2 linked regions of the Canis lupus familiaris genome follow. The protein of the gene in region 1 interacts with the protein of each later gene in a pairwise test. Links are inferred from orthologs where the notes say so. Each region holds a gene or a part of one and is shown on either strand. Other genes may lie near its edges.

What was found.
Region 2: the proteins of KASH5 (region 1) and SLC41A2 interact in binary tests that used the Homo sapiens proteins (3 or more experiments, as listed by UniProt). The two-hybrid records come from large-scale screens. The link is inferred for Canis lupus familiaris from reciprocal best matches to the Homo sapiens genes KASH5 and SLC41A2.

Annotation. Positions count from the first base shown.
Region 1 is NC_049222.1:107,750,048-107,753,691, forward strand, and holds the end of KASH5 (protein KASH5), read right to left. Parts: intron 3,165-3,644; coding exon 3,119-3,164; intron 1,891-3,118; coding exon 1,840-1,890; intron 1,631-1,839; coding exon 1,566-1,630; intron 1,481-1,565; coding exon 1,349-1,480; intron 1,244-1,348; coding exon 1,102-1,243; 3' UTR 247-1,101; downstream 1-246. UniProt on the Homo sapiens protein: As a component of the LINC (LInker of Nucleoskeleton and Cytoskeleton) complex, involved in the connection between the nuclear lamina and the cytoskeleton.
Region 2 is NC_049231.1:34,452,036-34,456,213, forward strand, and holds the start of SLC41A2 (solute carrier family 41 member 2), read left to right. Parts: upstream 1-1,266; 5' UTR 1,267-1,360; intron 1,361-4,178. UniProt on the Homo sapiens protein: Acts as a plasma-membrane magnesium transporter. Can also mediate the transport of other divalent metal cations in an order of Ba(2+) > Ni(2+) > Co(2+) > Fe(2+) > Mn(2+).

The sequences.
Region 1 (3,644 bases):
TGTGTCCACTTAACTGTATGGTTCTAATTTTAGTACATGTGCTGATGAAGCGAGCATGTCCATTTATATTTGTTACATCTCAATTAAAACTCAACCAAAAAAAAAAAAAACAACAACAAAAAAAAAACAAGCAATAAAATCTCCCAAAGCTCCCATTATCCTGAGGAGAAAACCAGTGCTCCTCAGGCTGGCATTGGAGGGGCCTATTTTTCTACGGTTTTATTTTCCTTAAAAAAAATAATTTAATGAATTTTTAAAATATTTTATTTGAAAGAGCACACAAACATGGGGGGAGGGGCAGAGGGACAAACAGACTTCCTGCTGAGTGGGGAGACTGAGGTGAGGTTCCATCCGAGGACCTCGAGATCATGACCTGAGCAGAGGTCAGATGCCCCTACAGCTTTATCTTCTAAGGTCTAATTGTGGCACATGGATGAGCAGTTAGTGATGAGTGAACAAATGGCACACTGGTCCATCTCCTGCCAGCTGTTTGCACTGCAGTGGACATCTGTGATGTGTGCAGGACCCACATGTATCTCTCCCTCTTTCTGCCAGGAGAGGAAAGAGGTGCTCTGTCTCCCAGCCTCTCTTGCAGCTAAGAGTGGTCACAATAAACACTTCCAGCCAATGAGACAGAAACACGGCTCTGCGGTTGGCTCTGGGAAGGCTACTGGTTTTCTTTATAAACAAAGGGACATGTCCCCTTCTTCCTGCAGATGTGACACATGAAGCTATGTCTGCCACCTCCTGATCAAGAGGAAGGGCCAGGAGGATGATAAAGAATCCCAGCTCCCTTGACCCCCAGGCTGTGGAGATCCAGAGCTGTGGACCCACAGTTCTTCTCCAGGCTGGTTTCAAAAATAAGCCCCTAGCATTTAATCCATTATTGGGTGTGTTTTGGTATTGTTAAGAATTGTGGTCACTGATGTTAAAAAAAAACAAAAGACTTCACATAAAAACCCAATACAGGGGTGTGTGTCCTGGAGCACTGTATCTGGGGTTCCGGGACCTGGGTCCTCCCAGGTCATGGTGGCACAACAATGGTAATAACAGTAGGAAGAGCCCCCGAGGATTCTCTGCCTAGGCCTTGCTCTGAGCGCCTCACACTGGAGGAGGCTGGAGGTAGCAGAGCTGGAGGTGGGGCCAGGTGGGGGGCGGGGACTGGCCCAGCAGCAGGATGGAGAGCAGGAGCAGCAGCAGCAGGCCCAGGACGGGTACCGGAATCAGCGGGTGCCGAGGGACCCTGGTGGGAGGCAGTCCAGTGTTTAGCAAGGTGCAGGGGATGCTGGTGGTGTAGAGCCCCACCGTGTGACTGCCACTCTCCTTCTGGAGACGTTCTGGGGCGCACCTGAGAGGCTGGTGGTACATGGTGGGCAGGCAGAGTTGGCCGTGGACCTGGCCCCAGACTGGCCTCCTGACTGGGACCAGCTCTTTTACCACAGGCACCAGGGCTTGCTGCAGCTCTGGTTCAGCAGGGCTGCTGGACAGAAAGGAGAGCAGAGCAGTCATGCTGGACCCTTCCTGTGCCTCCAAGTCCCTTCCAGTCCCCACAGGTCCCTGTTTACCTCTCAGGAGGGCTTCCTGGGATGTCTCCAGGATGAGGGTCCCCCAGAGGGATAGGCAGACTGTCCTGGAGGGACAAAGGAGACAAACTTGGAACTCTCAGGTCTTGGATTGGGAGAGGCCCTTGGTTCAGGCCACTGAACCAGGACAGAAGTGACCACATGGAAAGGGGTGGAACACAGTGAGACAGCCTGCCGGGTTGGGTTCTCAGTTCTGCCAGCTTCCAGCTGTATGCCCCGTAGGTCACCCCACATCTCCATGGCCCACTTGCCTTACCTGCTGGACAGGGTCCATGACAGTACCCTCCTCACAGGGCTGAAGCGGAGTCTGCAGAAGGGAATGCAGGTAAAAGCCAAAAAGCCAGAGGGCTCTCAGAGCAGAGCCCTGTGCCTGGCACACAGTGGGCACTCCATAATTATGTGAGCTGTTCAATACTACTATTTCCATTTGCATCTGATTCTGGAAGTATCCAAGCTCCGTGGGGGCAGAGACCCCATCTTCTCCATGAGTCTAACCCTGTACTGGGCCTAGTCCAGTGTGGGCACGCTCTCTGCCTGCATCAGAACCTGCAGGTGCTTTAAGATGAAAGCCCCAAATATTCCCTCCAGGGGCCACCTCATCCCCCATGTCTCTCTGAAAGGGCACCCCCTGTGTTGGTCTCAGGCTTTCCCACCCACATCTTCGTCCCATGGATGCTGATGATGGCAGTAAAAGCAATAATAAGGAATCACAGGACCACCGGACCCTACTGAATCACAGCCCCTACCTTCACCACTGCCACCTACCTACTGTGTGCCTGCTCTGTGGGGGGGGGGGCATGGGGGCTTTCACATGGCCCTTAGCCCTCCCCGCCCCCACTCTGATACTAGGGAGAAATCATGGTCAAGTCAGCTTGGAGGAAACTGAGGTGGGGCCCAGTATCCGTAGAGGGGAGTGGGAGGTGGGCTTTGCGGTCAGGCTGCTCAGAGAGACCATCTTGGATGCTTTGGACTCCAAGCGGCCTGGATGCCCGGCAAATACCTGGGATCCCACATTCCCATCCTGAGGACTTATGGGCTCCCTGTCTCTCCTCTCTGAGCTTCACTCCCTTTCCCAGCCTGAGAATGAGACTGGTACCTGCACCTCACCCTGCTGCTTGGAGGCGCAAAGCTGCTGGTGTGTGTGGTGCCAGGAGGGAGAGCCATGACAGGTGTGTGCCCCAGGGAGTTCTGGGGTTGGCTGGGGAGGGCCCAGCCCCTTCCTGTGTGTGGGTGCATGTGCGTGTGCATTTTCGCATTCCGGGGGTGTAGCCACGTCTGTGAGGCCTGTGGCTTAGCGGCTGCCGCCCCATGTATGCGCTTGGGGGGTCCCCTGGGAACATTCTGGCCGCCCACTGGCCTGCAGGCCTTCCCCCACGACGCTGTCCGCTCTCATTAGCTATAGCAAGGGCCTTGTTATCTCTTGGCCAAATGATTTTTCTGTCTGCTCAAGAGAAGTGGGAGTGTGGGTGAGGGCTGGGAGGAGCTGTCACTGCATCACCCTCCTCAAGGGCCTGGAGTGGGTGGGGACTGCTTACCATGGTCTGGGGCTCTACTTCCTCCTCATTCTCGCTTCTGGGCAACCTGAGGGGACAACAGAGTCATACTGCTTGGCTTGGCTCCCCTTCGCCCACCGTGGAGCTGTATGAACCTTTAAAGCAGGGGTTCTTAAATGGATGGGTCTGGAGGTGTCCTCCCATGAGGAAACTGCTGTGTGTAGGTCAGTGTGCATATTTCACAGGGGAATTTTCAGCAAAAGAGTGTGTGACCCCCCAAAGGGTAAGAGGGTCTCTTGATCAAACCGGTTTTCTCTTCTGCTGTTTTCCAGCTGATGCCCTAGCTAGGAGCTGAGGCTTCTGCTCAATTACTCTCCCAAACAAGACTCAGAGTTTCTCTGGGACTCTAGGGCAGGGGTGGACTCCACCCCCCACTTTATGCCTGCGGGGCGGGGGTGGGGGTGAGGTTTGTGTCTTTTTCAGTGAGTCTCAGGTTTATTGAGTCTTCTTTTAGGACCAAGATTCCAGAAGCCAACTGTGAACATCTCTCCTCACAAATCATTTCTCT
Region 2 (4,178 bases), on another chromosome or scaffold:
ACGTGACCCAGGGGACGAACACTTACCCAGTTGGAATTTTACTTCTGGCAAACTTACCTCCTAGTGAAATGTAATTCAGAACAGTAAGAACAAAATCCACTTGGAAATATGGTCAAAACACTGTTTTTCCATATTCTTTGCAATTATCCTTTCATTCCTAATGGTGTTTAGATTGTGAAGAACACCTGCATTCACCATTATAAAAAGCATAACCGTAGATGGTCAAGATTGATATGAAAGCACACTTCACCCAGAAGGTTAAGGTCAAAACGCAATCTGATTGCGAAGCAGAAAAACAAAAACCTGGGTAAATGTACGATCCAGTGTCCCTTAGCACCTGAAAAGCTGCTACTAAATCACTGGTGTGACTTAGAATTGATGGAAGCTTTGATCTGAGGAAAAAGAGTGCCACTAGCTCTGTAATTTTTAAAATGACATCTTTCAGAATAAATGCCTGAGGACGGACACCTTTGTTTTGGTCACTGGAATGTCCCCCAGGCATGGGCCATTACCTGAGTCATACAAAAGGTGCTCAATAGTTGTTAGGTAAGAGTTCTCGGCTTTACGTGGCAAATTTTGGTCACTTTTACCTAGATGGTGGCGAACTTGAAAAGTCTTAGTATCCCAGCCACCTGCACTGCACCCGCGCACTTGGCTCCTACACCCCTCTCCCCCTGGGAAGGTGCTGGGGGCCGCCCTACATCCCATCCCCTTAGTGGTCCTGGTCCCCGCCCCCGCCCCCACCCCCACCCTCTTCGACCTCGGCCAAGCGCAGCTACACGGCTGTTCCTGCGCTGCTCTGCAGACAGCCAGGCACAGAGTTACATACGCCTTGGTTTTAATTCCCGTCTGCGAGAAGGAAACACGAGCCCAGCCACCAGGAGGCCCCGGTCTGAGCACAGAAATCATGAGTCATAGATTCGGGGGTTCGGACCTAGGAACAGCTGGCGATGTGGATGGGCGTCGGGCTGCGGGGATGACGAGCCCCCGCCCCGCCCCGCCCCGCCCCGCCCCGGGTTCCCTGGAGACTCCGGCGTCCGCTCCTCCATCCGGCCCCCACCCCAGGCCCGCGGCTTGCAGGGTGCGGCCGGGGGTCGGGGCGGGGCGGCGCTCGCGCTCCAGGTCGCCGCCCCCGCGGCCACATCAGCAGCCTCTCGCCTCCCCCGAGGCGGCGGCGCGGCTGCGCGTGCGCGGGGCGGGGGCGGGGGCGGGGGCGGGGGCGGGGGCGGCGGCGGGGAGCGCGCGGGCCGCGGGCGCCGGCTCCGGGGCTGTCAGCGCAGGGCCGCGAGGGCGCGAGGAGGCGCGCGAGCAGGAAGGAGCCGCGGCCCGGGGCCGCCGCCACGCCGCCGCGGGGGACTAGGTGAACGAACGCTCCTTCCATCCCCCGCCCCGCCCGGGTCCCCCCTCCCCCGGGCCGGCGCGGCCGCGCTCCGGGGCAGGTGATAATGGAGGGGAAGTCTGCGCCGTGGCCGCGGCGCGGGGTTCGGGCGCATCCCAGGTACCGGAGGGAGGTGGGGGCGCCCGGCCGGGCCCTCTGCGGCAGGGGCGCGGGAGGGCCGGGCGGCGGGGAGCAGCCGCCCCCTGCCCCGCGGAGCCCCCAGCCCCGCGGAGCCCCCAGCCCCGCGGAGCCCCCTCCCCCGCGGAGCCCCCTCCCCCGCGGCCCCCGCGCCTGCGGCTGGCCCTGGGCGGCGGCGGGGAGGGGGCGCGGCGGGGCGGGGTTGGGGGTGGCCGAGGGCGGGGAGGGGAGGGGAGGGGAGCGCGGATGCAGACGCCGCGGGGCGGGCTCGGCAACCCCGGCCCCACCGCTTCGGGGCGCGGCACTGCTCCGGGTCGCTGCCGCCTTCCATTCCTTTCTTTAAGTAAAATATATCTCAATTAAAACAATACCCCAAACGTTCATCTACAGGAAGAGATGATACGTTCGTATGTAATGATGTATATTCCATTTACAGACATGTTGCACATATACGTCCTCTTTCTGTACGTGCAAGCTTGGTTTGTTTTTTTTTTTTAATTGAGATATAATGCGCATACCATAAAATTTGCCCTTTTAAACTGTGGCTTTTACTTTAGTCACAAAGTTTTGCAGCTATCAGCACTATCCTGAGCGTTTTCATCTCAAAATGAAACCCTGGACCCATTAGCAGTCATTTCTCATTTCACCCCTACCCCATCGTCTGGCAGCCGGTAATTTACTTTCCCTTCTCTATGGATTTGCCTATTCTGGAAATTTCATATAAAAGGACTAATACAACATGTGCTTTTTGTGTCTGGCTTCCTTCACATAGAAAAATGCTTTCAAGGTTTATCCATGTTCTAGCTTGTACTGGTACTTTATTCTTTTTTTATGCCTAGGTAATATTCCATTGTATTGCTGTACCATAATATCACATATTGTTTATCCATTCATCGCTTGATGGACAATCCCGGATGTTTCCACTTTTTGGCCTTGTGAATAATGCTGCCATGAACATTTGTGTACACGTTTTTATGTGGGCATATGCTTTCATTTCTCTTGGGTGTCTTTGTGTTTAACTTTTTGAGGAACTGCCAGACTTTTTGCCCGGTAGCTGCTTCCTTTTACATTCTGCCAAGCACTGTGTGAGGGTTCCAGTTTCTACACATCTTCACCAACACTTGTGATCATGTATTGGCTGGTTTTTATTTTAGCCATTCTAGAGGGTGTGAAGTGGTATTGATTCACATTGACCTAATGACTAATCATATGGAGTATCTTTTCATGTGCTTATTGGCTATTTGAATAGCTTCTTTGGAGACCTGTCTATTCAAATTCTTTGCATATATTTTAATTGGATTTTTTGTCTTTTTTTTTTTTTTTTTTTTTTACACGTTGGGTATTTGTCTTTTTATTGATGTATTATGTTGTTCATTTATGGAAAAAAAAATAGGTTTGGGGCTAGTTCTGACTAAAAAAGCCAACCGACCTGATAGCAAGCACCATAATGTTTCTTGGGGAAAGCTGAGTTAAGTGCCGTTTACGGTTTTCAGACTATCCTACCTGTCAATTCTTGGGCATCTTAATGCCTGTTTCCATGTCTCATATCTTGAGAAAAGCCACAAAGGTATGCTATGACCAGATTCAAGAGAGACCACACACAGTTGGTGTTTTCATATATTTCTTGCTTGATTTGAAAAAAGTACCAGTTATCACTTTAATTACAAATAATTTATTTTGATGGCTGGTTAAACAAACTACTAAAAATAGCAAACACCAGTTATTCAATTAACATTTCATATGCTTAACTTCTCAGGCAAAGTGGGAGATCTTGTTTTCCTAAGTTTTTGTAGTCTTTATCACAGTTAGACTCATCTATGGGCAAATAAATATTTTTGATGGCGCTGAAGTTAAGAGCCACTTACAGCTGAATGAATACCGGTATGCTTATTTCGTGGTTTATTTCTGAGTACACACAAATTCAGCATTAGCCTTAGCTCTTTTTATAGCAAAAACCACCGAAAGAGACAGGACACCTGCCTCTCAGGAGTTCAGGCTCATTTTCCTATTACTCTAATGTGACTGTTCAAAAATATACTTCCAAGTTTCAGAAATGCTATAGAAAATAAAATTGAAGATTTCCAAGTAGAATTAATGGATAAACAACTGATTAAAACTGTGAAGAGCAGCCCAGTCCTGGTTTTCAACTACTAAATTATAAAACAATGGAAATGGTGTTTAACCCCTTTATGCCTCATTGACTTTCTTAGTAGAAGGAATAATTTCAATATATAACCTGAATGTCTGTTTTCTTTTAGCTAATGGAATGATTATCAGATGTTTTGAGAATAATAACCTATCCAACCTAGTAGTGATTGTTACTGACTCACCCAGTGGATATAAAAATGTCCCATAGCTACAAATGGTTTTCAAGTTGGCCTTCTTCTTGGTACCTTCGAGTTTTTAGGACTTATTGAGGACTGAAAGTCAAGTGCAATGAAAAATGGGAACATGATCCCTGGGAAATGGTGATCAGAGCAGACCTGCCTCCTATATGGTGAACTTATAGGCGCTTCTCATCTTTTCTCTGAGATTACTGTAGTTACATTTCTATAGCTTAAAAGTAATGTGTGTGTATTTTAATATATATGAATAATAATATATATCTCCAGTAGAGTTCAAAGGCTAGGAGTCTCAGTTGTTTTGTCCTAATGTGAATGCA